Linked DNA regions of Pelodiscus sinensis. The protein of the gene in region 1 interacts with the protein of each later gene in a pairwise test. Links are inferred from orthologs where the notes say so. Each region holds a gene or a part of one and is shown in the gene's direction. Other genes may lie near its edges. The genes, in order: RALBP1 and GPS2.

What was found.
Region 2: the proteins of RALBP1 (region 1) and GPS2 interact in binary tests that used the Homo sapiens proteins (3 or more experiments, as listed by UniProt). The two-hybrid records come from large-scale screens. The link is inferred for Pelodiscus sinensis from reciprocal best matches to the Homo sapiens genes RALBP1 and GPS2.

What each region holds. Positions count from the first base shown.
Region 1 is NC_134712.1:85,224,757-85,241,018, forward strand, and holds the start of RALBP1 (ralA-binding protein 1), read left to right. Parts: upstream 1-8,702; 5' UTR 8,703-8,859; exon of another isoform or gene 8,860-8,876; intron 8,877-16,262. UniProt on the Homo sapiens protein: Multifunctional protein that functions as a downstream effector of RALA and RALB. As a GTPase-activating protein/GAP can inactivate CDC42 and RAC1 by stimulating their GTPase activity.
Region 2 is NC_134734.1:9,784,550-9,800,798, reverse strand, and holds the start of GPS2 (G protein pathway suppressor 2), read left to right. Parts: upstream 1-9,880; 5' UTR 9,881-10,023; coding exon 10,024-10,117; intron 10,118-14,120; coding exon 14,121-14,260; intron 14,261-14,505; coding exon 14,506-14,618; intron 14,619-14,913; coding exon 14,914-14,993; intron 14,994-15,205; coding exon 15,206-15,288; intron 15,289-15,364; coding exon 15,365-15,533; intron 15,534-15,662; coding exon 15,663-15,749; intron 15,750-16,249. Other genes in the region: NEURL4 (neuralized-like protein 4), read left to right, coding at 148-293, 1,183-1,398, 1,513-1,611, 2,304-2,453, 2,618-2,782, 3,185-3,343, 3,591-3,770, 3,997-4,090 and 5 more. UniProt on the Homo sapiens protein: Key regulator of inflammation, lipid metabolism and mitochondrion homeostasis that acts by inhibiting the activity of the ubiquitin-conjugating enzyme UBE2N/Ubc13, thereby inhibiting 'Lys-63'-linked ubiquitination.

The sequences.
Region 1 (16,262 bases):
GATGCTCACATTACAAATGGTAGAGCAAGGTGGACCTGTGGCACAGGCAGGACTGGTCATACAGGGTATGTCTACACTGCAGCATTTTTCTGGAAAAACTATACTTATGTCCACACTGCTATTGCGGTTTTTTGACAGAAAGTTGAAAGAACGCAGGGGGGTTCTACGACAGCGGTAAACCTCTTTCTATGCGGAAAAAGGCATGTGTGGATGCAGAAGAGGGAGTTCTTTCGAAAGAAGAGGCCTCCAGGAAATAACACAGGTGCTCTGGTGGCCATTCCGTCTACACTAATCACAATTTAAAGGCGAGATAGCACCCAATGAATGTGGACGCTATCTTTCGAAAAAGCAGATCACTTTTTCCTTGCACTTTTGCTATGTAGACATTCTCTTTTGAAATAAGCTTTTCCAGAAGATCTTTTCCAGAAGATCTCTTCCGGAAAAGCTTCTTCCGAAAGAAGCTTGCAGTCTAGACATAGCCACAGAGTGATTACCAGTCAAGAACTGAACCTAGCTCTCCTACTTGCCAGTCCTCTGCTCTTACAACTAGATTTGCTGACTTTCTGAAGACAGTAGAAGCTTTCTATTGCTTTAAAAAATGTCTGATAAGGGTTTTTTTTTAACAAAATTTCATGCAGCAAATCTATCCCTCTGGTCTTCCCAGCTGCCAGCATCCCTTGGATAAAATTCTTAATAGGAAATAATAAAATTGATCTTTAACTTCTGATAACTGAGCTTAACAAAACTGAGGGCCAGACCCTGACATGTTCTCTTGAATCCTGGGGGAGGGAGGTTAAATCGCTGTTCTGTGTGGTGGGTGGATGTTGTTTTTTAAGGCAATTGCCATTTAGTATCCAAATGTGAACTGATAAATTGATTCTGTTAACCTCTTAGGGCAGTTTCCTTTCTTTATCTCCCTTCCCCCTTTCTCCACAAGCTGAAAGATGAATGTGACCACATCTGATCAGCAGTTTTGATCTTTTTTGGTGCACAGAACATAAGACTGGCCATCTAGCCCAGTATCCTATCTTCCAGCAGTGGCCAGTGCCAAATGCTTCAGAGAGTGTAAATGGACCAGAGCAATTTATCGAGTGAACCATCCCATCACCAAGTCTCAGCATCTAGTCAGCAATTTAAGGACAACACCTAAAACATTGGGTTGCATCCCTGACCATCTTGGCTAATTGCCATTGATGGATCTATACTCCCTGAATTTAGATCTCATTTTTTTTAACTCGGTTGTTCTGTTGGCCTTCACAGCATCTCCTGGCAACAAGTTCCACAAGGGTGGCTGTCTTGTCTGGAGAATTATTTCCTTATGTTAATTTTAAACCTCCCGTCTATTAATTTCATGAATGACCCTTGGCTTATGTGTTATGTGAAGAAGTAAATAATACTTTCTTGTTCAGTTTCTTGATATCATTCATGATTTTATAGATCTCTGTAGCATCCCCCTCGGTCATTTATTTTCCTAGCTAAATAGTCCCATTATTTTTAATCTGTCTTCATACAGAAACTATCCCATACCCCTAATCATTTTCATTTCCCTTTTCTGTACTTTTTCCAGTTCCAGTATATCTTTTTTGAAGTGGGGTGTTGAGAACTGCAGAAAGTATTCAAGGTGTTTGCATACCATAGATTTATATATTGGTATTCTGCTATTTTCTGTTATATTATCTATCCACTTCCTAACATTGTTTGCTTTTTTGCCTGCTCCTGCACATTGAGCAGATGTTTTCAGAGAACTATTCACAGTGGCTCCACCGTCTCTTCCTTGTATGGTAACAGTTAATTTAGATCCTACCATTTTGTACACATAGTTTTCCAATGCGAAATTACTTTGTATTTATCAACATTGTATTTAATTTGTCATTTTGTCTCCCCGTTACCCAACTCTGGGAAGATCCCCTTGTAACACTATGCAGTTTGCTTCAGCGTTAACTATCCTGAGTAATTTTTTGTCACCTGTAAACTTTGCTACCTCACTATTTACCCCTTTTTCAGATCATTTATGAGTACGTTGAACAGAACTGGTCCTATTTAGCTCACACCATTCTAAAAACTGTATATTTCTGCCCTAGGTTTCCTATCTTTTAACTAGTTACTGATCCACAAGGGGACTTTCCCTTTTATACCTCGACACCTTACTTTGCTGAAGAGCCTCCCTAAAGTGTGAAAGGTAAATAATTTGGCTTTGCATACAGAAACCTTGTCTACACTACAGGTTACATCAGTCTAACTTGTCATGCACAGGTGTGAATAATCCACACCTCTGAGCAACCTAAGTTTATGCTGATCAAAGTGTCACTATAGATAGCGCTATGTCAGCAGCAGAGCTTGTCCCATTGGTGTTGTTACTGCCTCTCTCAGAGGCAGGAGTTAGGAAACTGATGGAAGAGTTCTCTTCTTTTAACTTAGAGCCCCTTCTTCAACAGCGCTAAAGCAGCTGCCACTGTAAGTGCGGTAGTATAGAGACAGCCTGCGTTACCTCTTAATTTTAGTGTTCAAGTTTACCAGTGGTTGTCTCCTTGGATTCCCCCTGCAATATTGAGATGCATGCTGCAAAGATATACTACATTTTTCTCCTCTGTCAGCCTCTTTCTCTTTTATTACTGTGGTGTTGGTAACAACTCCGTAGCTGGATGGTGCATTGAGCTTTCCGGTTCAAAGAGGACTACAATCTATGATTTATACTTTAATGCTAGAATACAGTCTTCAAATTTACCACGATAACTCTTCATGGGACTAGATTTTCTGTAACTCTTTCAAAAAACCTGCTTCCTTGGAGACTGGACTGGCTTCTCTGGAACTGGTCTAGCCTGTCAGTTCAGCATGTATATAAAATCTTCCATTAAAGGGTTTTCATGATTCCTAAACAACTGCCTTTCCTGAAATAGTGTTAAAGCTGGCAGTAAAGGGAATGAACACAGCATTCTTACTTTATACAGCTGTGCTTTTCTTAGTCTCTAAACACACCATTTCCAAGACTCCAACCTGCAGTTGTACTTCTGAGGCTCAGCAGTAGCAGCAAGATTGAATTCCAGAGTGAAGACTTGCCATTTTAGATACCCTACCCCAGATCTTAAGAGTTCTCTCTTGGAGACAGCCAACAGTAAATGTAATGAGGTGTAGGGTGTGAGTTTATTTCTGAGATAACTGGGAGCCACAGGTAGAAATTGATATAGTGAATTTCACATAAAGGTGAACTGGAATCTAGTGCAGTGTAATATGTTTTCACCCCATCTCCTTAGAAATGGGGAAAAATTCATTCTGCATTAGTTAGCCAATGGCATGACTATGGGCTTTCATTGGGGATTCATGCAGGCCCTTGTCATTCTTGGGAGTTGTGTGTTCTGGGGAACATCATCTAAGAATAGGGATCAATATAAGCAATCATCTAAAACAACTCCAAAGGCTAGTGAAGAAGCCTTAGTTTTCTCCTGTTGCCACCTGTATTGTAGCCTTGTTTGACAAAAAAAATTGCTTGTAATATTAAACCAACAGTCTGTCTTTCACATTAGGATTTTCTTCTAAAGGAATGTGTGGGAATTGATTGGTTAGGAAATACATTGTAGGACAATACCTCTATGCTCATGAACACTAATTAGAGTGTTTACAACACTCCCTTTTGTATTTTCCACTGAATAGAGAAACACAAATTCCTGTGGGGGGACCCTTACATTACCACAGAAAGTTGCACAAAGAATCCATTATGTAAAGATCAAGGAATACTGAATCTCAAGTGAATAAATGAAGCAGGTGGCAAACTGCCACAGTATTAATGTGTCCAATAGCTCTACGATCATGCTTGAAGGCTGTGAAAATGAGTCAAGAGTGCTACTTACTGAAATAAATTCCCTTGTTGATTAGAATCCTGAAGAGAGATTCCAGATATGCAGGTATTTAACATACCCAGAAACTCTCATTTAAAAAGAGGAAGAGTACAAAATGTATTTAGGGGACACACAAACAAAGTAGCCATTGAGATGGAAGATGCATTTCCTGGCACCAATCACGTACTCAACCAGCAGACAAATTATTTCTCTATTCTTCTAACAAGGACAAAGACAAACCAAACAAAAAAAAAAACAAACAAACAAAAAAAGGGTTCCTTGGCAAAAGCAAAAGTCAAAATATATTTGTTGCATTTTCCATGCTACCAACATTTTTTAGGCATATATAACATGACTTAGTCTAATTGAATTATGGCAAATGCTAGGGTTGTTTTTTTTAATTTAAAAATAAATCTGTTCAGAAGAGCAGATGTGCTGCTGAGTGGCTAGGTGCAGGCCTGTTTAGTTTGTGTCACATTACAATTTCTCTTTCTGCCTAAGAACTGTTGTTTTCTCCAGCTTTGCTTTGTTAGGAATTGACTCATGGATAGGCACTTGGCTGGGCAGAGTTATTAATAGGGATGTGAATGTTTAACTGGTTAACCAGTAAGCATCACCCTTAATGAGTTGTGGCTAACTGGTAACTGGTGGGACTGGAGCAGCTTCCCACCTCTTGCAGGCAAGGGGCTGCTCCAGTCCCACATGGGCATGCTGCGGACAGGGGATGGTCTCATCTGGATCAGCCCCTGTCTGGGTCGGGTCCAGGTGCCCTGCAGACAGGGGCTGCACTAGTGTCTGGAACAGCCTCTGTCCACAGCGAGCCCAGGCAACTGTGGACAGGGGCTGTTCTGGCAGGGGATTGGAACCAGTGGCTATTCCCAGCATGGGGCTGTGAGCGTGGGGCTGAGGGCTGCTGCAGCTAGGCTGGAGCGGTCCCGACCCAGATCCTGCTTTGTTGGTTAACTGAGTAAATGTTAAGTTGACCTAACGTTTAACCAATTAACTGATTAACTGGGATTTTGCTTCCGTACGTAATAAAGGTGAAAATTCTCTGCAATGTCATCCTTAACAGAGAACCACCCAGCTGCAAGAGGTTCTCATCGTGCCCACTACTGTGCTAGCAGGAGGAGGAAGTGAGACCCACAGTATTTCTCTTTCTGTGGGCAACACGGACAACACATTATTTCAAAGTGCAATTTTCTAGCAGATAAGCTCCTCGAATTGCACTGTATAATGTTGTTAAGAGAATGGAAGAGGTCCACTGCACAAAGATGAACACACTTGCATGAGTCCTAGGATGGCAATTATTGCAGAGCTATCGAAATGGTTGATGCACAGACTAACAATGTGATGGTTGTTGTGGCTGATAGTGTTGAAAGATCCCATCTGCTTTTCGAGGAACACTGAGAACTTTAGCGAATTAAAAGTACAGTGACCTCCCCACCCATTGATTCTCTAAACTATGAGGAAGATGCGGAGAATGTGGTGGACTTTCCTCTCCAAGTAAGATCAGGCAGGGAGAAAGAACTGTGTTACCTTGCCCCAGCATGAGGAAAGTTTTTATACTTCAGAAGAGGGGCAGGCAAAAGATACCAGTTGCTGCTCTCAAACGCCTCTCCTTGTCAGCAGAAAGAAGAGGTTTTGGCACTTGTATCAGAAGGAATCTATATGTGCAGTGAACCAAAGAGGGACTTGGCACTGTGTATATGAAATGCCTATCACTGGAAACTGAAAAGCCTAAGATTTTTTCTCTTGGGTATCAGCCATAATACCCACATTTACTTCTGCTATATGAAAACAGAACAAAACATCACATTTCCATTTATTTACAGATCACAAACATTTATTATAAGCTTTTTTAAGACCTGCAATATTGTCTCATTAAGTAATTATTTCTTACTGTACAATTAATTACTGCACTAAATAATGCCATTTGCAAGGGAAAAATAGTATCCAACAAAGGTATGTGTGTGTGTGGGGGGGGGGGGGGGGGAGGAGAACATAGTACTGTTTTGGATATTTCCAAAGTGCCTGTCCAGTAATGGAAGAACCATCTGGCTCTGTTCAATCAATCAAAAACACAGATTCTACTAACTCACAAGTAAGGTCTACCTATTACATTAGAAAGGATGTACAACTCACTGGAATATGGAATTACTAATGTTTTGAACAGAACCTTGGTTAGCTAAGGCTCTGCAGTATGTTAACATTTCATATGTATTGTACTACATAGAAGTGGGGTATCAATTCTACTGTTAAGATTAATTAACTTTCCAGTGTAATCTTAACTTCAGACCTTCCTGCCTTTGAGACATGTATGCATGCAGAAATAATTTTAAAGGCCTGGTTTCTAGTCAAAGGGGAATTTTTGGCAAAGCTGAAGAATTGGACAAGAAGTTTTTGTGACATGAAATGCTAAAAAAAAAATGAGGAATTTCACTTTCTGAACAGTCTGCTAATTTTAATTTTCTAAATCCCAAACTCAAAATAATCCAAAATGATTCTTCTTTTAACCTTAAAAGGGCTTAATTACATCTGGCTCATAGGATTATATCTGCTACAGTCTGGGGCTTGCTTTAAAGATTTTTTTCACTAAGGGCCTTTGAACACTGTGTCTTGAAAACTTGTGAAATTTGCCATTGGTCTGCAAAGACTGCAAGATGCCTGGTTGTACAGGAGGCTGCAAGTTTTGCTAGCAAACTCATTCACCTTCACGAAGGCTAAAAACTCCACTGGTAAGACCTGTTGTGGGTCTCTTTTCACTTATAATTAAATTACAACAACAGAACATATGAACTACTTACAGCAAGATTTCAATTATTACTGGGCCAATTCATTCCACCCTGCACTCAGATCCTATTGGGGTCCGACCCTCCCCCAGACTACTGGGAGGATCCAAAGAGCCCTGGACATCAAGTGATTCCAGGAGACAAAGAAAAAGAAAACAGGGATGGGTGTGAGAGTCAAAGGGCTAAAACAAGGGAACTGAATAGGAACACCGAGCAGAGAACCTCGGACAGCGCCCACTGCCCCTCGAAGGTCTCGAAAGAGCCAGCAGACGCTGCCCAGTGGATTTCTGCCCAGATGTGTGAACAGATGCAGGAGTGGAAATAGGCCCCAGTAACAGGCCCCTCCCTCAATCAGCCTCTGCTCCCTGGTTTTATAAATTGCCATCTTGGTGATAGCCAGGAGGAGGTTGATGAGGAGGTCCCATGACTTTATGGGGCCATGGATGGGGTGTGTGTAAATTAATAGGTATGAGGGGAAGTGCAGCCAAAACCTCAAAAAGAGGTTCTGGAGGAGCCAAAAGAGGGGCTGTAACCTAGCGCACTCAAGCTAAATGTTCACCAGGGCCTCCCTATCACCGCAGAAGGGGCAAATGTCAGGAACGGGTGAACCGTGCCAAGTACACCCCCATGCTCACAGTGCCATGGAAGATTCTCCAACTGATGTCCCCGGCGGGCCATGGAACCAAGGAGGAATAGAGACTGGCCCACCGGGGCTATGCACTTAAATGCAAGCAAGATAGGGCCCTCTAGGAGAGAAAGGTCTATGACAATATCACTTTGTGGAGACTCTCCTATGTTCCCAGATTACCCACCCAATGATATTTCCTCATTCCTTAGAAAAAAAGGACCTACTCTCAACCTGATCCTTCTAGCCGACCACCCACAATCTTTCATATGGATTCTGATCACAGTTTATATGGGGGGGGGGGGCAGGTAGGGAGAGGGGCTTAGATGCATCCAGAAAGACAAACCTTATCTAGAACAAGGATCACATGATGGGGGCAGAGAAGAGGGGATTATACCTATGTAGATGGGAGGGGAATGCAAGGATGGATGACAGGTACTCTTATTTCTCATGCCTGCCCTCTGTGCTTCTGTTATTCACTTCCAAGTCTTCCTCCCATTTCAGCTCTGGGCCCTGCACTCTTTAGCTCAGCCCCTCTCAAGCTGATCTGGAGTGCTGGCCTCTTCCCATTGTTCCTGGGGGATGTCAGTCTTAGGATCCTGATTTCTCATAGAGCCATCCCCTTCCTTTTGATACTGGAAACTAGCCAACCAAAACCCTCACTGAGTTTTGAAAAGAAGCCAGCATAGACTCACAGAATCATAGGGTAGGAAGAGCCCTTGGGAGGTCTTGGAGTCCCTCCCCCCTGCCCAAAGCAGAATCAATCCCAACTAAATCATTCCAGCCGGTCCCGCCCAGTCCCCTTACACCATACACCTCTGGATGCAGCTGGCACCAGCTCTGCCTGAGCACTGTGCCCAGAGGAAGGCCTGGTGGGATGGCCGGGGGGTAACAGAGCGAAGGGCAGGTGGAGCCTGTGGGCAGGACCTGAGCTGAGAGCACCCAGGCAGGTCACCCAACCTCCTCCTGTAGGGGTGTGAGGTTTATAACTGTTCCCCAGAGGAGCCGCTCCTCCCCCCACCGGCCTCCAGCCCCATCCTAGCCCTGTCTCCAGGGGCTTCACCTCCCCTCCGCTTACCCCTTTTTGTGACTTTCTAACCCCCGCTAAAAAGTAGTCAGCAGAAAGTGAGGACATGGCGAAGGGCAGTGGCTTCAGCAGCGTTACCGAGCATGCTCAGTGCAGCCTAAGTAGCACATTCCTACAGGGCGCCGCTAGATGTTACACACCTGACTCTGCTTCAAGGGCTGGAACTACTATTCCCAGCATGCCCCGCGCGGGCTTCTCCCACCGACTGGGAGGAGACATAACTGCCTCCAGCCGTGCGCACGCGTACTCACCGACCACGCGCCTGCGCAAAGCCCTCTCCTCGCCACGCTTGCGAGAGGCATGCGCGTTTCCATCCCGCTGCTTGCCGCGGCCGTTGCTCCGCGTCTGCGCAGTCCGCTCTTTGCCCTCCCCTGGGGCAGAGGGAAGCTGGGGGAGGCGCATGCGCATTGACAGGCTCGCGGCATTCACGAATCCGTACCCGTCCTTGTAAACGGGCGGCGGAGGCGGAATGGGGCGCGAGGCGGGGCGCGCGTGAGGCCGAGGCGGAGCCGAGCCGCCCTGCAGGCAAGTGGAAATCCAGGGTCAGTGCTGGGGTCGCGTCGGCTGGGCGGGGTCATCGCCCCCATTTCCCAGGAGTGACTTCCGGCCTGGGGGGGTTAGAGTGCGGCCCTCGGGGGTGGGGGGCACCGCCAGGGACCCCTCCCCCCCGCTTCGGGGACCTCCTCCTCGCCCTCCCAGGAGAGGCGTTTGCACCAGGGGCCATCGCCACCTCCTCCAGGCTGCTGCCGCCCCGGGGGCTGTGGCGGAGCCCCGTGTCCCGGCGCAGCCGGGCAGTGACATGGGCCGTGTGTTACAGCCTCTCTCATCGCCCCAGCCCGGTGCCCTCGGGGGTGGGGGGGGGGGGAGCGCGCCTAGCTTTGCACCTGCTACTCTCTCCCAGGGGTGAGTATCGTACTTCCCAGTGGCGGGTGCCAACTCCCTGCACCCCTCCTACACCCACATGGGTGTGTGCTGTGAAACACGCATGAGAGTCTGTGCTGCTCATAGGGCACCAAAGGGGGAGGACTGTCCTGGTTTTTAAGTGCTACTGGCCTGCTGGTTGGTTTTTTTTTTTCCCCCATCCACTTACCCTTTATTTCCTTGAAGTTGGAATTCTCTCATAATTGAGACAAAGCTGCGATCAACCTCTTTACGTTGTACATGGTGTGCTTGGAAAGTACCTAACAGGCCGTGCACACAATATCAGACGTTGACAGTAATTTGTTGTTACAGCTGTGCATGGTTTCTGTATGGTAGTCCCTGTTCCTAAGTGTTTGTTTTCTGTTAAAGGCAAATACAATGAAAGGGGCAACAGAACACAGCAGGAAAGTACATTAGGCCAAAGAACATCTTATTCTGGAAGTACTGAGATTTGTGGTTATTCTGAGGCGTTTTTACAAGTCATGGGTAACATAAAGAACACTGCCTTCTGTACTAATCTTCCTCTTTTTTAGGAGGGAGAGGGGTTGTCAAATTCCATTGCTGTAATAGAGCAGAGTGGTCTTGTTCACAGAGAAAGTGATAAACAATCATATGTAGCACTTAAATGCTCTTGATCCACTTCAGACAATATACACATACATACAGCATCACTAAAATGCATATGCCAAGAAGCTTGAAGATGGCAGTCAGGTGGCATGTAGTATGGTTCAGAATAACGGGAGGGGAAATTATTAGGGCAATGGAGGTCAATCTCTACTCTCCCAAAATTTTATGGGTTCTTAATAATCATATAGATGTGGATGTAGCCTTTATTGTAAACTTTTGTAATGTTTGACTTCTGGTATAGTAATAAGATGTATTTGTAGTGCTTAGGAGCCAGAGTTATAAATCAGCCCTTCATTGTGCTAGGTACTGTACAATCACAACAAAAAGAACACTGCCTTCTGTACTAATCAGCCTCAGAGTTTTTGCTTTAGGAGTCTTAGAGATTGAGACAACAGATGGATATAGACAGAAGGGGGACAAGTAAATAATGAGACAGCATTGGTCAGCATGTTTGGCAGTAGTGTGTGCACTACTGAGCATTATCATGTTTTCTCTAGGCATCACAGCAAAAGCAGAGTTTTGAGAAGGGATTTGAAGGTGGATATTTTGCAGATGTTTAGAGATTGGCTTCCCAGTGTTTGGGGCAGCATGAGAGAAATAGTATTCTGGAAAAAACACGTACTTCAGATATTTGGGTCCAAAAGTATGACAATATAGTGTGGATATGGGTTCAGGTTCCAGTTCTGCAACAGGCTTCCTGTGTTGCATGAGCAAGTAACTTAATCTTTTTCTGCCACAGTTCCCCATCTGTAAAATGGGAATAATAAAACCTCCTTTCTCCTACCATTTTACTTGTCTGTTTAGATTGTAAGATTATTGAGTTTGGCTTGCTCTACATGCAATTTTTGTATTTGTAAAACTTTCAGTTAGGGATATATAATTTTTTTATACAAATGCTTAAATTATGTCCCCACTTTTCATAGTATAAAGAGGCCTTTTAGCATTATAATTTATTCCCTTTCATGTATAAAAATAGCTAAACTTGTGTAAAATACTTTTTATATTGAATTAATTGGGTCTACGCTAGATGGGTTAGACTGCTCTAACTATACCAACATAGTTAAAGCTCCTCAACTTTTATATGCAGAGTATGTTTATGCTGCATCTAGCACATTGTGATTCTGATATTAGTTGGAGCTTATAGACACTAATCTAATACAACTCTAATTTTTACAAGTTTGTTGTTTTTTAAAGTTTATCCACTCTTATGTAAGCAGGCTGGACACCTGCTAACACTCTTTATGCAAAGCAGGAACTTGTAAAAATTAGAGTTGTATTTTTGTACTCTTTTTGTGTAAAGAGGAAATGTCACTACGCATTTTTGCGGTTACCTTTATTTGTTTTTATCTGGGTCATCCCCTAGAAATCAAAGTAATATTTTGGTATTGTAGGTACACTACACTGAATATTCTCATGTGTATTTGGACTTGTTTAGGTTATTGCACAATGATCACTTCCTGCTTTGCATCAAGAGTTTTAGCAGGCAGCCCAGCTCATGCTGGGTGCAAGACCAAACCCTGCTGCAGCTCTTCAATTTAAAAGGCAGTAGGAGCTGGGCAGTCTGTCCCTGGCTCCTACTGTGTTTTATATTGCAGAACCGCAGCGGGGTTTGGTCCCACACCCAGTGCGAGCCAGGTCTGAACTGGGCTCCCTGCGTGTGCCAATTCCTGCAGAGCTGCCTGCCCCTGGTGCTGGTGTTCCATGGAGCCACCAAATTCCCCAATCCCTCTGCTGCTGCCTCTAATAAAGAGGCAGCAGCATGTAATATAAAGGTGGTTTGTGGGAGCTGGCACATGCGGGAAGCTGGCTTTCTGTGGAGCTGCCTGACCTTTTTCCCACTCTCCCAGTGTGCTAGCTCTCTATCAGAAGCAATAGCATGGGGGTAGGGAGGCAAGTGGGATGCTGGGCAGCCTCTGTCCACGGGGAGTTCAGGTCCCCCTGCTGCTGCCTCTGTATCAGAAGCAGTAGCCCAGGGCAGCAGGTGGGAGCCGGTCTGCTCGGGGAGCCAATTTTTAAACTGGCTCCCCTCGCAGACTGGTTCCTCCTGCCATCCTGTGCTGTTGCATCTGATATAGAAGCAGCAAAGTAGTGTGGCAGGGAGCTCCCCAGGAGTGATGCCTCCAGGGAGAGCATTTTAGTAACTGTGTAAATGCTAAAAATTGTTGCAGCTACACAATTACTAAAATAAACAATATCTAACATCCCTACTTCATATTTTGTTCAAAAGTTAGTCTGAGGAAGTTGTGGAGTGTGTTTAATTGATTAGGTTTTATTGATAGGGTTAAAATATATGCAGTGGGAGAAGAAATGGTCCATTTAAAAAATGGTAAAGTGAGAGAGAATATTTTAGAAATCCAGTGGATTACTTGAATCTAATGACTTTTGCTTTTCTTGTTCATTAGGTGTGTTAACTTTTATAAATTCTTTTATAAATTCTATACAGTGTGCTTCATATTGTTGCTAGTCTCCTTCAAAGTAATATCAACTGAGAATTCTTTCACAAGAAGCAAGTGGCTCGGTTCTTAAAATGATTAATTCTGAAATCTGGCAGTTTAATGCTCTCAATTCACGTAGCAACTCAAAGACTTATTGGTCGTAGGGTTTATATGGCTTATTTTCAGAACATTCTTGAGATGGCTTTACAAAGTTGTTGAGGAAATGAAATACGATTTGAGGGATGAAAGTTAGGAATGGACAGCTGGGTGGACTTAACTGCGAGCCTCGATGGTTAATGTAACTCTTGAACTGAATCTTGAATTCAAATCCTAGTTGGTCATATAGAAGAACGAATTTGATGACTCACCATAGTTGCTAGGAATGTGGTAACATTTGTGGTCTGTTCATAAAGTAACCTAGAAATGGAATAGCAGGGCCATTTGCAGGTCACAAATGAGGTACATTGTTATACCCATCCTGTGCTCTGATTTTAACTAGTGCTTTTTAAATTTTTAGTGTTCTTTAAAGTAAAAGATTAATGTTAAAAATGATTTCAGTTCAGACTTCAGACGCATCTACAGTATAGTTAAACATATGACATACATTTTTGTATCATAACTGCTAGTGGTGTAATTCTGTGTTTTTTGTTTTTTGTGGGTTTTTTTGTTTTTTTGTTTTTTGTTTTTAATTAATAATTAGGCCAGTATAAATGTGCATTTTACCAAGATAGATTTTTCTCCTTTTCCATATGGGAATAAACTATACTAATTTAAGCATCTTTATACCAATACAACTGTTCATGCTGAGAGATCGTGCCATCTGCTTTCGCTATACTGGTATAGTTACAGTGGTACAGCTTTTGGGTGTGGACAAGACCAGTGCTGTTGATACTAATAAGCTATATTCTTTCACTTATAAAATAGCCCATAACCCAGGTTCAATCAGTTTAATAATCAAAGATAAATCAGCACAATATAGAGACTATACATTACCAATCTCTGGGAAATAATCCTGCAGCAGCTTGTCAAAGAATTATTATAGAAACTGTTTTATAGCCTGCTTGTTTACGGCAGAGGGAAAGTCCAAAAATTCAACTGTATTAGCACAACACTTTCCTACTTTCTCTTATGTAGTTCCATAAATTTGCAAAACAGAGATGTCTGTACCAACATGACCAGAACAGTAAGTGGCAGATGGTGCATTTCTCACAAGCATCAGCAGAACATACATCTTATTTTCTTACAGATTCTGTACATGCAGACAACAACACTACATGTACAAAAACAGAAATTGCAACAGTTTTGTTACTAGTAGTTTACCATAGTAAGATTAACAAGAATACAGTTAATAGTTCTGCATCTTAGATTATATGATACTTTATTTGTTCAGTATTAGCACTTTCTTATTTTAGTTGCACAGCACATCTTATTCTGTCAGATTTGTCGTTACAGCTGTAAAACAATTTACAGTAGACTTCCGATAATCCAGAACCTTTGGGATCTAGGTGGTGCCGGGTTATCGGATATGCCAGACTATCAGGAGATACTATAAATTGGTGATATACATATATAAAGTGTTTTTAACCCTTTTTATTGTAGCACAAACACTGTCCATAGTCACACAATGCCAGTGGCAGACTGACTCGGTTCCATCTGGTTTCGCTCGGTTCAGCTGCTGCCGCTGCTGCCTTGTGATTCGTTTTTTGCCTCTTGTCATTTTGATGCTGGACTGTCGGGAGTACCGTACCGTGGATGCCGGACTATTGGAGTTTTACTATTCAGTAATTCCTCACTTAACACGTTTTTGCAATAGCACGGTTTTTTTTTTTTTTTTTTTTTTTTTTTTAGGGAACATTTTTCGAACAACACAAGGCTTTCCCTGCCTCCCTGTGTCCAGCGAGGAGGGGTCGCCTGGGAACAGCGTGGCCAGCTGCAAACTTCTGCTGCTTTGCAAGGAGGCAGGGGAAGCCCCGCGCAGCTGCCGGCGACTGGCCAGCTGGGGAAACCCAGCCACTAGCTGCAAGCCCCCTTCCCTGTCCTCCCCTTTCCTTCCCCAGAGCCAAACACTTCCCCTCCCTGCTGTAACCCAGTCCCCTTTCTCCCCCAACCTCATGTCCCAGTCCCAACAGACACTACCGCTTGAAACGCAACCCCCACTTTTTCCATTATTTTCAATGGGAAAATTTACCCCACATAACACATTTTCACTTAACACGAACATTTTCTGAAACGTATCTACAGTGTTAAATGAGGAATCACTGTACATGTTTTGGCTAATACAATTGTTTGTAAGAACTGATTTCACACTCTTAATTCAGTTCCATTCTTTATATGATGAAACTACCACTTCATGCATGAACTCTATAGTTTCTCAGACTGTAGTTTTCCACTTAATCTGTGATCTAGTCATACAGTATTGTGGGACTGTGTTTCAGTTTGGTAATCACCAGAATTGCACAAATAAAAGAGAGTGGTTGAGGCATGGGACTGGGAATCAGAAACGCACGAGTCCAGCACTGGCTCAGACACTGATTCTGAGTAGGGCTGTGGGCAAGTCATGTAACTTCAGTATCTGAAGGGTTTGGGATATGTGTGTGTGGGAGGGGGGGGGGGGCTTGGTTCATTCCACACCCCCTGTAAAATGGAGACAGTTACCTAATTCACAAGGGTGTTGTGAGGAGTCAATATATACATGGGATTTTGAAGATATAAAGTGTCCCTGAGAGAGTTTCCAGTCCCCTTTGTCTTCACTGGTATTAAATGAATACACCTACTGGAATGACATAATAATGTCACTTCACCTTCATTCCAGATACAATCACCTGATAACAAGACATATGTATTAGGGATGTTAAATTGTGTTTAGTCGATAATCAGGGGAAATTGCAGAGCCACAGTGGGGTTAGCTCCTTCCTTGCACTCAGTCCCAGACACTGCGCCTCTGCTTTTTTAAAATGTATTAAGAGCTCATATCTGGTCCTTCCTGCTGCTCTGCCTTTTAAATGTATTAAGAGCCAGCTGGCTAAGAGCAGCAGGGAGGACCAGATATGAGCTCTTAATACATTTTAAAAAAGCAGAGGCGCAGTGTCTGGGACTGAGTGCAAGCCAGGAATCAGCTGATTCCTGGCTTGTGTCCAGTCCCCCACTACGTCTATGCCTCACCTGCCCTCTGTGGAGATGACGCTGGACGGAACTGGCTTTTCTGATAGAAGCAGCAAGGGGATGGGGAGCGACTAGTTGTTATATCCCTAATGTATATTTGAATATAGTATGTTTTAACAAATAACTTCAGTTTTTAAAGCAGTCTTCATTCAGGCAATGAAAGTGGTTTTATTAATCTATTTGAGAATGTGTTCATTTGTCCATTTGTGTTTGTCTGTTTGTTCAAATCTCCTCCTAAATGGTAAGAGCTCATGCCATCAAATTCGGTATACAAGTTCCTCTTATAATAACTTAAAGCAAGTAAGGGTTTGTTGAGCCAGGAAAATGGGATATGCCTTGCATAGGATTGCTTCTTATAAAACCATACAGGAAAGAGTCAGAATCACCAGGTAGGTCACAGGCTGGCTGAGGGCATACTTCCCTACCCTCATCCAGGATTTCCCCAGCCCTGAGCTTCCCATCCCCCATGCATCCTTTAGGGATGGGGAAAGGGGACTGAAGCGTCCGTCCCCCTCCCTCCCCCGATTCATACGGTATCATTGCTGGCTGTTCTCCTTCATCAGGGAGCAAGGGGAACACACATTCCTTAGTCTGGCTGAGGAGCACAGGGGACAGACAAACCTGGATCTGCCCCAGCTGGGGGACATGGTCCCCTCCCCTGGCTATGCTAGCTGCAGCGGACATGGAGAGGTGCTTCTCACCTGACCCCAAGCTGCTGCAGTGAGAGAGGGCTGGGGTTGTCCTCTCTCCCTGGGGCAGCTCCCATACTGAACCCCTAATCCT
Region 2 (16,249 bases), on another chromosome or scaffold:
TTGGTTTTTTCTGCTTCTCACTTGTGTGCAGCCCCCGACTGATTTTTTTTTTTTTCCTGTGGGTCAGCAGCCCCCGACCCACCCTGCCCTAACTATAGATGGCCTCATCTCTCCTCCTCCTCCTTCCCTCTACCCATCCCTCTCCAGTGCCAGGCGTGGCTCACCGCTTCCACAACAGCTGTGGGAAGAACGTGGCCTTCCAGGACGATGGTTGTCGGGCTGTGCGCCTGGCGGGCTACTGCCATGGCATCATCTTCAGCATGAAGGAGCTGAAGACTGATGAGGTCTTTGAGGTGAGTCCCTCCTGCATGGGCTGGGGGCAGGACTATCAATAAGAATGTAACACCAGCCATGCTGGGTCAGACCAAAGGTCCATCTAGCCCAGGATCCTGTCTTCCAACTCTGAACAATGCCAGGTTGTTCCAAAGACAAGGAATCAAGTGATCCAGCCCCTGTTGCCAATTTCCAGCTTCTGAGAAATAGAGGCTGGGACACCATCCCTGCCTGTCTTGGCTAATAGTAATTGATGGACATATCCTCTGGCAAGGAGTTCCACAGGTTGCCTGAGTGTTGTATGAAGAAATACTTCCGTTTGTTGGTTTTAAACCTGTTACCTATCAATTTCACTTGGTCATCCCTAATTCTTCTGTAGTGTGAAGGAGTAAATAAGTTTTCCTTATTTATGTTCTCCACACCAGTCGTGATATTCTAGACCTTAGTCACATCCTTCCCTTAGTCAACTCTTTTCCAAGCTGTAAAGTTTTACTAATCTCTCCTCCATTCGGCAGCCATTCCAGACCCTCTCATCCTGTTTGTTGCTTTTTTCTGAGGGTTTTCCAATGCTAAGATACCTTTTTTTTGAGATGAGGCCACCACATCTGTATGCAGTATTCAAGATGTGGGTGTGTGTCTTATTCATTATCCTTTTCTTTACCATTTCCAATTTTTTGTTTGCTTTTCTCACTGCTGCTGCACATTGAGTAGATGGAGCCCATTCTCTGAATGATGGCTGCCCCGCCACCAGGCCGAAGTGGCTGGTACACCCGGTACCTTCCCCCTGGGGACAGTAGGGGGCGCTCTGTAGTCCAGCCTTAATCTGGTGCAGGGGTGGCACTCATGTTCACCCTCTCCCATTACTTGGTGACCTCTGACCCATGCTTATGCCCCCTCCCCCCCACATAGGTGAAAATCGAGGAGCTGGATGAGAAGTGGTCAGGCTCCTTCTGCTTGGGGCTGACCACGCTGTTGCCCTCTGAGGTGCCCTATGCGGCCACGGGGCTGCCGGCCTCCCTGCTGGAGCTGCAGTCTAAGGCCACATGGGTGGTGACTGGCTCTGAGGTGCGGCGCAATGGCCTCCTGCAAAAGCAGAACTACGGCTGCTCTCTGGAGAGGCTTGGGGTGAGTCATGCCAGAGGCCTGGCGGAGTGGGCAGGGGGAGTTGGATGGACAAAGGATGTGGGGCTGGAGGCCCATGGGTGGACCTGTCACTAACCCAGGCACTCCTAATGGTAGGTGGGAAACCGTGTCGGGGTGAAGCACTGTGTGGACGACACCATGCACATCCTGGTTGATGGCGAGGACATGGGGCCTGCTGCTACCGGCGTGGCCAAGGTAATGCCCACAGCCCCTTGCTTGGGCCTCATCCCTGCAGCTGCGTTGGGGGGGCAGAGCCCACATGAGACAAGGATATAGGCAGAGCCTTGCCCCTTCCTGAGCCTCAAAGGTAGCTCCGTGGGAGGGTGTTTGTGACGTCATGGGTGCAGGGCAGCTTCTTCCTGTCTCAGAGAGGTTGTGATGTGGTGTCATGGGAGGATAGGGCCTGCCTCTTCCTGTCTGAGGGACGCATGCTGTGATGTCACAGGAAGCCACTGTGCCATAGGAGACAGCTCCAGGGGCATTTCCCATGGCTTCACTGGGACAGGACATCTGAGAAACCTATTGGGGGACCAGAACTAGCGCCGTGATCAAAATGAGGGATTTCTCCTAGCCCGAGTGCAGAGAAGGGCTGGCAGTGATGAAGATGGGCTGGGTTGGCCAAGAGGGGAAGGGGTTGCTCCCCACAAATACTGGGGCGGGGGTCAAGCTGTTCAAGTGGGGCGGGGGGGAATCCAACCCAAAACTGAACAGAGAGAAACTTGAGGGAGGTTGCAAGTGAGGCCCTACTAATCAGAGAGAAGGTTGGAACCCAGCCACCTGTTCCCCCCCAGAGCTAGGGAGAAAACCCAGGAGTGCTGGGTCCCAGCCCTCCTTCCCACTCTGACCCACCAGGCGCCCCCACCCTCCGTCCCGTTCTATGTCCTCAGAACGTCTACGTGGTGCTGGATTTGTATGGCCGCGTCACTGCCGTCTCCATTGTCAGCTCCACGGTGCTGGAGGAGTCAGATGGCACCAAGCCACCCTCAGTCACCTCCGAGACATGCAGTGAGGAAGAAGAGGAGGAAGAGCCCGCACCTGTGAGTGCTGGAGGATGGGAAATGTTTTCCTTTGGTGGGTGTCAGCTCCCATCTGGCCCCAGTGTGGGGGCTGCCTGGAGCGGCAGGGAAGAGAATGAGGTACATGGACTGTCTCCTCTAGGGGTGGGGGTGTTGGAGAATGACTCCTCTTCCCTCTGCTACAGTGTGAGCATGAGGCCCCCGTGCCGCTGGCTGCCATGGAGTTCCTGGAGAACCACGGCAAGAACATCCTTCTATCCAATAGCAACCTGACGGCCACCCGTGTGGCCAGTTACAACCAGGGCATCGTGGTCATCGCTCAGCCCTTGCCCCCAGGCCAGCTCTTCCAGGTAGGCTCCTTCCTCTTGGGGGAGTATGTGATATTGTGTGGTGGAAAGGCATAGTGTCTCCTACCTCATGTTTTGGGAAGATGTGATGTTGTGAGCTGGCAGGAAGCACAGTGGCCCCCCCTTCCTCATAACATCACATCCCCACAAATCAGGGTGGTGGGCAAAAGGGCCTGCTGCTTCTTGTCAGGGAAGGATATGATCTAATTTGGGGGAGGGCAGAGGACTCTTCTGCTGTTGTGGTAGGCGCCGCTGCTGTCAGGCTAGGGATAGATGTCATAGCAGTATAAATGTCTAACCCTTGTAACTGTTGTCAGGGTTGGTATCAGTCACTGCCCTGTGGGAGGTGGGTGTTAGTGGTGTCAGACATTATTTCCAAGCTTTCCCACTTGTCTTCCTTCCCAGGTTCAGATCAACTTCCTGAACCCCCAGTGGACATCGTCTCTGTCCCTGGGCGTCATCGGCACCTCACCTGAGCGCCTCAATTTCCCTGCCACAGCCTGCTCCCTCAAGCGCTCTGCCTGGCTACTGCAGCGTGACTCTGTCTTCCATAACTCACTCAAGGTGGGGCAGTTCCTAGAACTTGTGTCCTCTAAGGGGTGCCAGCTCCCATCCGGCTTCAGAGTGGGGACTGGCTGACTCAGGAGGATGGGAACAGGGTAGGGGGCTTATCCCCTCTAGGGGGCCCTGGCTCCCACCGGGCAGGGACTGGCTGGTCTGGGAGATGGGGAAGGGGCGCTGTTGGACTTCTACAGTGGGGGGGGGGGGGATTTCTGGAGCTCACCATGGACCCTGTGCCCATCACCCCCAGATCTGTGAAAACTATGGGCCCAACTTGGACACGTGCCCTGAGGGGACAGTGCTGGGGCTCCTGCTGGACTTGAGCAGCTGCTTGCACCTCTATGTCAACGGGATGGACCAGGGGGTGGCTGCCCAGGACATCCCCACACCCTGCTACATGCTTGTCGACCTCTATGGGCAGTGCGAGCAGGTGAGCCCCACTCCCAGCAGGGCGGAACCCAGAGCGTGCCCCCCTCCCGCTCTAACCACTAGCTCCCACTCCCCTCCCAGAGTTGGGGAGAGAACCCAGGCATCTTGGCTCCCAGCCCCGTGTGGTAATCCACCAGCTCTCGCTTGGCACTCTCTTTCCTGAGCCTGGATTGAACCAGGTGTGCTGGCTCCCAGCTCCCCCCAACCAATGCATTTGTGGCCCCCAGGTTACCATAGTAACAAATGATACTCCAGCTCTGGGAGGGGAGAGCACAGATCTGCATAGCCAGGGGGACATGGAGAAAGCCGACATGGTGGATGGTAAGTGATGGAACTGCTCCGCTCTTTGATGGGTTAGAGGGGGATCTGCCCGGGTGGATGGGTGGGATCCGGGGCTAGGCCCTCCCTACTTGGGCTGTCTACATTACAGAGTTTTTCCAGAAAAACAGCTGTTTAAAAAAAAAAAAAAAAAAACCTTCATTTACATCCACACTGCAATCGCATCCTTTGGAAAAAAATATCAAAAGGAGAGGGGGTTTTTCCGACATTGGTAAACCTCTTTCTACAAGAAAGAAGCCTTTTTCTGCAAGAGCTCTTTCGGGAAAAAGGCGTGTGTAGATGGGGAAGAGGGCATTCTTTCAAGAGAAGAGAAAAGAGGAAAAGCACCAGTGCCCTGATGGCCATTCGTCCATAGCAATCTCAGCTTACATGCAAAATAGTGTCCATTCAGTGTGGACACTATCGGTCAAAAAAGCAGATTGCCAAAGCGCATCGAAAAAGCAATGTGGACGCTGTCTTTCAGAAGAAGTTTTTTTGGAAGATGTCTTCCAGAAAAGCTTCTGAAAGAAGCTTGCAGTCTAGACGTAGCCTCTGTCTCTAGGACAGTGCTTCCCAACCGTTTTGAACATACAGACTCCTTTCTAATCTATTAACATTTCACAGGCCCCCCTCTCTGAGGGAGGAGAAAAAGCAAAATAAGGATCAGGCCCCCTATGGTGGGTCCAAGCCTTATTTTTAAACTTTCCACAGACCCCCTGCAGTGCCATCGCGGACTACCAAGGGTACTACTGTTCTAGTACATGTGGGAAGGGACTGGCTGGTTGGCTACCCCTCCCTTTCTGTTGCAGGCATTAAGGAAAGTGTGTGTTGGACTCCACCCGTGGACATGAACACTATGAAGACCTGTGAGTACCACGCGCTTTGTGCCCGCTTCAAGGATCTCCTGCTGCTTCCAGGTAAGTTGGGACCCTCTCCCTTGGCCCCAGGGGCCTTCTAAATCTGCTTCAGAGTGAACCACATTGGTGACTGAAATGGACTGTTGCCATCAGTAGGGTTCATTCAGCATTAACACTCGATGCCTCAGGCTTTCTTTAGACTCATGCAGCATTGCTGCCTCAGTTAAATTCCTCCCCCCATGCCTGACTCCCATCCCCTTCTTTCCCAGATGACTACTTCGCAGAAGATCCCAAATTCAGCCTCTGCTACTGTGAGTCGTGCCACAAGCTGCGGGGCGATGAGGCCTATTATAAACGGGGGGAGCCCCCCCGGGACTATGCCCTGCCTTTTGGTTGGTGTCGCTTCAACCTCAGGTATCAGCCTGGAGAGAGGGGGATCTGGTTCACTATTGTTGGGAGGGGGAGGCTGGGAAGAGGGGCTCTTGCTGGGATTGGACTGGAATGGGGAGGGGGGGACACTGGCTCTGACACCCTCCCACCTCGGCAGGGTAAACCCCCAGCTGGAGGTCGCCAGCACCTGTAAGAAGTGGCACATGGCTTATCACGGCACAAGTGTCGGTGCTGTCCGGAGGATGCTGGACCAAGGGGAACTGGGGGCAGGTAGGAGGGACCCAGCACAGAGCACATTATGCCCTGCCCAGACCAGGGGATGGAACTTATGCATCCTAGCTCCCAGCCCATGCCCCCCCCCACCTCCCGCCCACTCTGACCCACCAACTACCACTCCCTTCCCAGAGCAGGGGAGAGAACCCAAGAGTCCTGGTTCCCAGCTGCACCCTACTCCTCTTCCAGAGGGTCACATGCATGAAGCATGACCAGTCCCATTATGGGGTTCCAGGACCCAAACTCCTACTGGGGAGGGAGCAGTGCTTAAAGATGGGGCCTGCGCTTAGGGATGGGGCCTGGCTCACGGCTGTCCCCTGTCCCAGGCAGTGCGTCCATCCTGAGCTGCCGGCCTGCCAAGGTGGACCCCCAGGGTGGAGGATACCATGAGGCAGAGAACAGTTCCCCAGGCCATGGGGCTGAGCCCCAGTGCATCCTGCTTTCGCCCACCCTGCGCTACGCTGGCCTGGAGGCCTTCGCCACCAAAGTGCAGTGAGTGCCACCAGCCATCAGGGAGCAGCGGGGCTAGGGAGGAGGAAAGCAGTGAGTCCAGCCTGCCACTCTAGTGGGGTTGGCAGGGGTGGGGGGGGAATGACAGTGAGTCTTGCCAGCCACTGGGGAGCATTTGGGCTAGGGGAGAGGAAAGCAATGAGTCTCATCTGCCACTCAGGACTAGTGGGGCTAAGGGGGACAGTGAGTCCTGCCTGCCACTGGGGAGCAGTGGGCCTCGGGTGGAGCAGTGAGTCTCAGTTGCTGCAGGAGGGAGCAAGACACTTGAGAGCAGTGAGTCTTGGCCCCGGTTAAGGGAAGCTAGCAGGGGTGAGGGAGGGAGATCAGAGTCCCACCTCTAGAGGCCAGTGGGTGTAAGGGAGGAGCAGAGAGTCCCAGTTGCCACTGGCGGGGGATAGTGGGACTAGAAATAGTCTGTGAATCTTTGACCCACTGTGTCTCCTCTTCTCCCTGCAGATTCCGGGACCCCAAGTCACAGCGGCAACATGGGGCACAGGTGGCCTTCCAAGTGTGTGTGCGCCCTGGCTCCTACAAGCCAGGCCCCCCATCAGCTGGTGCCCCTGAGCCCCCGGACCCTCGTTTCAGCATGGCTGAGATAGAGTGGGTCACCAAGGAGAAAGGCGCCACCGTGCTCTATGGCCTGCTTGTGCGTGTGGAGTGACCCTCCCCACAGCCAGCCAGGGGGAAATCTACCACCACCCTCCAATGGACCGTAACCCCCCCCAGTGGCTGGAGGCATGGGGAGCAGCAGATCTGCAGCGCACATCTTTCTCCCACCCTGGACCAGCAGGGGGCACTGGATGCTGGGAGGGGCTTTCAGCAGTATGACCCCCTCCATCCCGATTCCAGAAGGAAGATTGGTTTTTTGGGGGGTTGTCTCTCTGCAGCATGCTCTCCCTGTGCTCAGCTGGGGATAATCACCAGAGGAACTTGCCTTTCTTGGGTAGGGGGGGTTATCTTCAGTGTGTATCACCCCCACACACACGTCTGCACTCTTCCACCCCCCCTATGGCCTAGCCTAAGGGGGGAGAATTTGGACAAGATACAGAGTCTGACACTGTTTTAAATCTGGGGGGAAGCCCCTCCCCCCATACACACAGCTCCCTCTGGTGCCCAGAGCTGTATTTTGCACATAGAAAAAGCTAAGAGGGGGCAGACTTGGGGGGGACTTACAGCATGGTGGGAGATTTTGGGGGGGGGAATATATTGCACCACAAAAGACTTAATTTCTTAGGGAGGACCTACCTCTGTGGGGGAGATCTCTACCCTTCCACACTTAAATAGCTTAGGGAGAGTAAGTACCCCTGGCACAGATTGCTATGATGGGGAGTCACCTTCCATGGCTGGGGGGCCCTGATCTTGCCTCCCAAGGGGGGGACTCTCATTCGGAGGGAAAGTTTCCCAATGAATATTTCAAGGAAGTGCTAGATTCAGTTATTGGGGTGTGGGAGAGTTGGAGTAGCCGGGGGGAGTTGGGGGAATTTGTTCTTTTAACTCCCTCTTTGTTCCCCCGTTTGGCAAGCCCCCTGCTTTGAGGAGGAGGGATGTTGAATTGTAGCACTTAGTGGTGGTTCTAGCCTGCCCCCTCTCTGGCTTGGGGGAGGGAGGCAGGGGACTCCCTGTTTTTTCCACACCATAGTGGAGGGGAAAGGTTGGCCAGGTTACCTTGCCTCCATCCCCCTCCCACCTTCTGCAACCACTGTCCTACACCCCTTTCCTGTGCAGTAAGCACTGCTCCTGTGGTGCCAGTAGCCCCCAAAATCAGCCCTACTGTCCCCTCACCCAACCATCCCTCCTTATTTATTACCTATTGGTGTTGTTGAAATGTGAATTTCCTCGTGGGGGAACCTTGGGGGGGCAGGTTTAGCACTCCTTCCCCACCTGTTACTTTTTTAAAAGTTTTATTTAAGCTGCTTTTCCATTGTAAGGTTGGGGGGAGGTGAAGTTGCATTATGGGGTGGAATGGAGGGTTCTTAGAGCCCCCTAATTGATAAACCACCATTCAGCCACCTCAGCTGTGTCTGTGTTTGTGTCACCAGAAAGGGGGGAGACTGTTAAACTAGGCTGGTTACACATATCTGGTACCATGACTTAAAATTGCCTTTTTCTGGTGCAGACCAGGGTTAAGTGACTATACAGATTTGTTTTGCACAAAAAAGCCCCGATTGTGAAAATGGCGATCGGGGCTTTTTTGCACAAAAGTGCGCCTAGATTGGCACGGACGCTTTTCTGCAAAAAGTGCTTTTGCAGAAAAGCATCTGTGCCAATCTAGATGCTCTTTTCCGCAAATGCTTCTAACGGAAAACTTTTCCGTTAAAAGCATTTGCGGAAAATCATTCCAGTCTAGACATAGCCCACATGTTCGAGGAAGAGTCACATTCTCTAATAACCATGGGATGAGTACTGCTCCCTCCTACAACTTCCCCCTAGATTGCTCATGATTTGGAAGGGAGCAGATCAGTGGCCGGTGTATGGGGCCTGTGCTGTGCCACACAGCTCACTGTGCCAGGTATACCCCTAACCTCCCCAACAACTTTGCTAACACAAATGTAAAGGGCTATAATTCCAGCACTCTTTCCTACAGCCCCACCACAGCTGCCCAGCACCCCACCCAGGACTTACCTCACTCTCTGATTTCCCAGTACAGGTTCTCCTCGCTACCTGATGCCTTTCCCCATAGTCCTGCCACCACACTGTCCTGTACTGCGTTCTCCCCTCCCCCCCCCATCATCACACCACCTGGACACTCCCATCCTGTCCTCTCACCAGCCCTGCTGGGTGATCTCTGAATCCTATGGTCAGAGTGGGGGGCAGGTGCTGTCTCCCAATGCTGCACCAGCCACACTGGTGAACTCAGCAGTTCCCGTACGCTAGGCACACTGCCAATGGGAGCTGCAGGGAAAGGGCTTGCAGGCACAAACAGAGCCCCCTGACCTTGATGGACCAGATAGGAGTTGGGGGTGAAGCCACTTCCAGGAAGTGGCCAGCAGGTTGCTCTGGCTCTCTGCCTGCAGACCCCATCCCCACAGTTTCCATGGGCTGTGGCAGAGCAAAGGTGTAGATATCGGGTGCCTAGGGGCTGCAGGCTGCTCCTCCAAGCAGAGCCCCATAGGCACAAGACTCAGTTTCTAGACTAGGGGTCACCAACCAGTCAATCAGGATCTATCAGAAGATCTTGGAGCCTCTGACAGGTGATCCTGACTGGTTTGGCTGGAAGGTTCTCAAGTGCCTGCATGTCAGTTGCCCTTCCCCCACTGCTCCTGCCTAAAGCCTCAGAGCTGTCCCCTGGGAGCCTTCTGCATGTAGTGTGGGGTGGGGAAGACAAGAAGCAGGGAGGTGCTGATGTTGCTCTGTCCCCTTCCCTTGTATCCCAACTTCACAGAGGAGGGTGGGGCCTCATCAAAGGGGCGGGCTGGGGGTATTTGTGTTAGAGGCAGATCCTAGACTGACAAATTCAAAAAGTGATCTGCTTAAAAAGGTTGGAGACCACTGTTCTAGATCAATAACAAAACAGCAGGGTGCTGGTCACCCGAGCACACACCCCCAGCACCCAGTTGGAGTGGGAGGCCCCCCGCTGTCCCTTTCTCCTCCCGGGCGGGGGCCAGCTATGCTGCCTCTGCCCACACAGGCGCATGCCCTGGGCTCGGCCGAAATCCCACTCCTGCCACCAGCGGGCGGGGCCAGCCTCATTCTGATGCACGGCCAAGCGGCAGAGCCTGGTCTCGCTGGGAAATGAGAGAGGGCGGGGCCATCTGACGTAAGGGCAAGGGCGAGGCCGGATCCCGTTCTCACGCGCGCACAGAGGGCGGGATAAGCTGACACGAGAGGAGCGGCCGGGTCGCCGCAGGCGCGCGCCCCGGAAGCGGAAGTGTACGGCTGGGGCCGGTGCCCGAGCGCGGAGCGAAGATGCCGGCGCTGCTGGAGCGGCCTAAGCTTTCCTCGGCCATGGCGCGCGCCCTCCACCGCCACGTCATGGTGGAGCGCGAGCGCAAGCGGCAGGGTGAGCCTCGTTCGCGTGCTCCGCGTCACGCGCCCCTGCCCTCCTCGTGTCTCACGTCACCTGTCCAATGACCCCTCTCCGTCTGGCCACACCCCTCAGCGGCTCTAGCCCCGCCTCCACCTGTTGTCCCCACCTCACCGTGGCCCTTCCCCCTGGAAACCCCCCACCCCCTGGAACACTCCACGTCCCCCCTCCCGCCGCATCCCTCCACCACACCACCCTGGGGTTCCCCCACCGACCCCAGGCCTCCCCATATTCTCCTCCCCCACTGCACCCCCTGGGTCCCTCCATATCCCCCTCCCTCCACCCCATCACACACACACTCCCTGGCTCCCCCATATTCCCCTCCCTCCACTGCACTGTCCCTTGGTCCCCCTGCCCGCACTGCTCCTTCCATCACACTGCCTCTTGGGAACCTCCCCAAGCCTCTGTCCTACTGCTCCTCAAGGACACCCCCTCGCACTCTCCTGTGCTGGAGGAGGGCACAGTGCCTTATAGGGTGTGGCCAAGAACCTCTCCTGGCTTCCTGAGTCCCCAGTGCTAGCCCCATCTCTCCGGAGGCGGATTTCAAGGGGCCCAATACCAGGGGTGGAGGGTGACCCTCAGACACCCCCTCCTTTTGTTCCCTGTTTCTTAGACATCCCCTGAAAAACAGGCCTGAGCCCCCTCTCCCCTGCTCTTCCTTTCTCCCTCCGTCCTCACATCAGGGGCACCTCACAGATCAGAGCCCTAGAGGTCAGGGTCACCAGCCACTTCCTGCTGCTCTGCTCTAGCCTCCCCTATAGCTGGGCCCCAGTCTCCCCAACAGCTAGGGTGACACCTCCACACTGCAGCCCTTGGCAGAGGAAAGGGGGGACTAAGGATGAGAGCGTGGGAGAGGGTGGCACTGCGGGACCAACCCAGCAGCACCCCAGCTGCTCTGCCCCCGGCTTCCCCAAGTCAGCCGCTGCTGAAACTGACCAGCGGCTGACTTGGGGAGGCCACGGGCAGAGCAGCTCCAATTGTCCGGCTGGCCAGAGCACTTCCAGGTTCCGGTTGGTGCCAGACTATCAGGAGTGCCGGACCACTGGATGCCGGACAATTGGAGTTTTACTGTACATTGTTAAAGGTGTGGATGAGCTTGTCATTAGTGTTCCCTGTAAGCTGGGTGCTTGGGCAGCCACTCAGGAAAGATTTGAATGCCACCCAGTTTTAGAAGAGTGCTCATAGCCTTAAGCTGATTCTGCTGAATCGGGCCCTGCACCCGAGAGGGCTCTACACCCGGAAGTCGGCTGCTCCCCCTTGCCTGCGCACGCTGCCAGCTGCTGCTGCCATGCGCGTGTGTTTGCACGTGGACGGAGTGACACCCGGGCGTGATGTGACGTCGTCACGGCCCGGGATTTTTAAAACTGAAAAGTGCAGGTGGCTCGGACTCGGAGTCTGGCCCCGCATTGTAGAAGGCAGAAGGTAAGGTGGGGGAGGGGGGAGAGGCGCAGTCAGCTCTCAGCCACCTGCAGCCCGGGGAGCGGTGACTCACCCTGAGCACATGGAGCCGGGGTGCAAAGCAGCGTTGTGGGGCGCAGTCAAAGCAGGTGGGGTCGCGCTTCCCCCACGGGGCCCCAAGCAGCTTGCAGAGGCAGGCCTGGCCCAGCCCGGCCCCTGGCTGCCGTCTCTTACCTGAGGGGCTCCAGCACCAGGCTCTGCAGGCTGAGGCCACGTGCGGAACCGGCCGCTAGCACGGCCACCACCTGTGGCAGCTTGAGCAGTGGCAGCATGCTCCAGCGTCCGGTTGGCCAGGCCAGCGCCAGCTGCGCCTCCTTCGCGCGTGCTGCCCGATCCGGCGCAGCCCATCTCTTCCGCTGGCAGCCGCGGGGCCAGCCCTAGCTTGGTTGGGTGGGGAGGTGGATTGTGCAAAAACGGGAGCGCTGAGGGGTGGGGGACACTGGCGGTGGGGAGCCTTGGTTCCCAGCCTGACGGATGTGATGGGGGGGGCAGAGGCATAGCGAAGGGGGTGCAGGGAGGGGCAGTTGCCCCAGGGCGCCACGCTAGGGGGGCGCCGGGCTGGGGTGAGAGCAAGCGCACGCTGTGCAGGCTCACCTGCCATGGGCGGCAAGTTATATGGCCGTCCCCCCAGCCCCGAGCCATCCCTGCTGTGCGCAGCATTCAGTCGGCTTCGCCTTGCCTGCGCACACTATGCAGCATTTCCAGGTGACCGGGGAGACGCCTGGGCGTGACGTGATGTCACGTCATGGCCCAGGACTTTAAAAGTGTTTGGTGCTGCGTGGTGCTGGCCTACCTTCCAGTTCGGAGTCCGGGGACTTTTGGGGTCTGAGCACAGACTCCGGCCCCCAAGTGGAAGGCAGAAGGTACGGCAGGGCAGGGGGAGAGGAAGACGTCTTGTGCGGAGGTGGAGGGGAGAGGGAAGATACAAATTCCAGGGGGCCAAGTGCAGACAATGAGGAAAAGGGCAGGAGGGGAGGTGTCAGTGTGAGGAGGGACAGGGTGATGCTGGGAGAGGAGAGGAGAGGGGAGGGGAAGGGCATTAGGGTCTGGAGGGGGGGAGGGGGAGGTGCTGGGAGAAGGCTTGAAAGGAGGGGTGGCCATGAGAAAGGTGGGGATGGAGCAAGCCATGTGTGAGGGCACAGGGGCATGAGGGGAATGGGGCAGAGAGTGGTGAGGGGGCGGGCATCAGGAAAAAAGGGGGCAGGGGCAGTGAGGGAAGAGGATTCCTGCTGATCTTATCCTAAGGCTTTCAGTTATCCAAGGGATTGTAGGTTGCAGGCATCCACTGCTGTCTCCTATTCTGTAAAGTATACCCCTTTTGTGTATGGGACCTTTCTATCTTTTTTCTGAGATAGATAGGTGGGTTCGTTGCAGTTGCTTGTTGTCGTGTAACTTAAACTTTCAAATACATGGTTTGGCCCTAAACCTTCTCTGGCCTGATTTGTGATTCTCAGACCAGCTGTGATAGATGGGTAACACCAGGTTGAATTTGGCTTCTGTTGGGGGATAGGTTTTGATTAATTGCTTAGGCTCCACAGCAATTGCTTACCTAAGTCGTCTTTTTTTGTGTTTTGGGTTTTTTTGCTCAACAAAAAAATCCTGGGGGGCCCCGCACTTCCTAAAGTTGGCCCTGCTCATAGCTAGGTTTATGTTTCCACGAGTGGTACCCATTGGTACATGGTTTGGTGCACATAGCAAAATGTATTCTTTCATTCATGTGCAGAAGTCCATGCATGGATGGAAAAGATTAATGGAAACATTACTTGTCGTGTGTGATTTTTGTGAAACACGAGCACTTAATACAGAATAGGTGCCCAAGGGCTGTGTTTATAAGCCTGAACCTCCAAAGTTAGGTGTTCCCCCTCCCCCCAGCTTGCTCTTCAGATGGGGCCTTTGATGCAAAGTTTTACTAGAGTTTTGGGGGTTCACCATATTTACTTTTTAATGTAACTGAGGCAGAAGTTTGCAGTCTATAGTCCATCAACCCCTTTGGGGGGCGGGCACAGCCCAGGTCTGTAATTTCCAAAGGGTTCCATGCTGGCATTAGAAATTTTTGAGGGGTCCACCAATGGAAAAGTGTGGCAAACCCACTGTTTGAAGGGATTAGGAGAAGCTGAGGCTTGTCTTTTAACTCAGGGTTCTTTAAAACCTGGTGAGGATTTAAGGCAAGAAAGCAAAGCTGTCCTTAACATGTTGTCCGCCCAGCAGCCCCACTGGTAGTTAGTTTCTCCAACTGGCTCTCAAAACTAATTACATTCCTCCTCATGCCCTCCAACTCCTACAGAGTCAGTGCTGCAGGGTTCCTTCCCACCCGCAACATTGGCCCCAATATGTTCACAGCCAGGTCTTCCCCACAAACACCTGGTTTGTTCTTGTGGCTGAGATGAAGGCCAGCCCTCAGTTTCACAGTCCCTCACTGATGCTGAGGTTCCAGTCCCTGGATCTCTTTTCTAGGGGACAGATGGGCTGTCCTCAGCTTGCACTATTTCCATATTTCTAGCCTATTTTTTTGGGGGGGGAGGTTGTCCTGACCCTAGCTGTGTATCTGCAGAGGAGGAGGAAGTGGATAAGATGATGGAACAGAAGATGAGGGAAGAGCAGGAACGGCGCCGCAAGAAGGAGATGGAGGAGCGCATGTCTCTAGAGGAGACCAAAGAACAAGTGAGTGTGGTGGCGTGGGTCTCCTATCCTCCAGCTCCATGGGGTGGGGGGTTATGAGCCAGGCTAGGGATTGAGGGGTCTGGGGCTCCCCCTAGATCACAGCCCACTTCCTCCAGTGCCTGGTCTCTGGGCCCTGTTCTCAGGGAGAGGCTGCCTCCTCCCAGAATCCCAGTGCTGGGTGTCTGGGCCCTGTCCCCTCATCTCACACTGACCCTCTTCTCCTCCCCTCCCTCGCCCCCCCACAGATCAGTAAGCTGGGGGAAAGGCTGCAGGCCCTACAGGAGGAGAAGCATCAGCTTTTCCTACAGCTGAAGAAGGTGCTGCATGAAGAGGAGAAGCGCCGGCGCAAGGAGCAGAGGTGAGGGGGGAGGATGTGTGGGGCAGGGTCCTGTCCTGGTTCAGGTGTGTGGGAGAGGGTATTGTTCTGGCGGAAGGCGTAGAGGGTTTCTGTCTTGCTATAGGGAGGCATCAGAGATGACTTGGTGGGAGGGTGGAAAGCTACAATTCTCTTAAGATGGGGAACTCCCTGATGAAGTGACTTTGTGAGCTGCAGAATGCAGTGTTGCGTTGCTGCTAGATTTGATGGGACTGACTGGGGAACAGTGGAAAAGGCAGGGGAGCCATGCCAGCCTCTCTTCTCTCTTGCCCTGTAGCGATTTGACGACTCTGACAGCTGCAGCCTACCAGCAGGGCATGGCCGTGCACGCCGGGGCCCACATCCTCAACATGCAGGGTACGGGCCTGGGGGACAATAGGGAGGGCATGGGGAAGGATGCGGAGAGTATGGGGGTAAAAGGCAGTTGGGAGGGGTGGGGAAGGATGGGGAAGTCTGGGGGAGGACCATTGCAGGTGGGGTTACCTGGGGTAGGCAAAGGCTGGCAGCAGCGCCTGGAGAGGGGGACCATGCCCAGGAACACCCCACCATTCACCCCAGTCTCTCTTCAGGAAGCCCCGGAGGGCACAGCCGGGCTGGAACGCTGATCTCAGCCGACAGGACAAAGCAGATCTTTGCACCCCCTGTGATCACAGTGAGTGTTAAGGTGGGTGGGTCACATCCCCTCTGGGGTCACTGCAGAGCTGCTGACCTCTCCCCCTTGTGTCCAGCAGACGCGGCACTTCACCACCCAGCCGGCCTTCGCACCCGGCACCCCGGAGCATGGGCAGTACCAGAGCGGGCAGGCTGGGCACAGCCCCTATGCTGTGGGGCAGGGCCAGCACTTTGCCCCAGGCCAAGCCGTGCCTGTCAGCTATGCCAGCAGCCAGCCCATCCGTGGTGAGTCAAAGCCTGGAGTGGGGACCAGCTTAATTGGAGTGGTTCCAGGGCACAGGGAGCTGGGGGGACGAAGGGAGGTGGTGGCACTGGGTTGGGACAGAGCTCTAACCCTCACTTTCTGCCCCACAGGCCCCTCAGCCTTCCCTGCCATGCAGTACCTGTCACAGCAGCCGCCAGGCTACGCACTGCATGGGCACTTCCCTCCTGCTCAGCCAGGTGAGACCCCCTCATAACTCCTCCCTGTCTGACTCTCCCCCCCACCCCACCTGGCTAGATGAGACCCTCTTATGCCCTACCTGATTACCTAGGACAGACCCCCTGATGCCTTCTCCCATCCCAGCTGGGCAAACCCTCATAGAACATTAGAACTGGAAGGGACCTCAACAGTTCAAGTCCAGTCCCCTGCCCTCATGGCAGAACCAAGCACCATCTAGATCAGGGTTACTCAACATGCGGCCCACAGCCTGTGGTACGGTTTGGATTTACGCGGGGCTCAACACACAGCCCATGGGTGGTAGCCAAAAAAAAAGTAGTCAATATCTTCTGTTGATATGTATTTTAGCAGTTAAATTCCTGGACTGTCATTGCTCATTAAAAGTGCTGTCATATGGGTGGAAATTGGGTAAATACTGTATTTTATTAATATCAGCAAAACTGACTTAAGAGGCCGGTATATTGTGTAGTCTTGCCTTAACCTTTGTATTCATGCCCGTCAA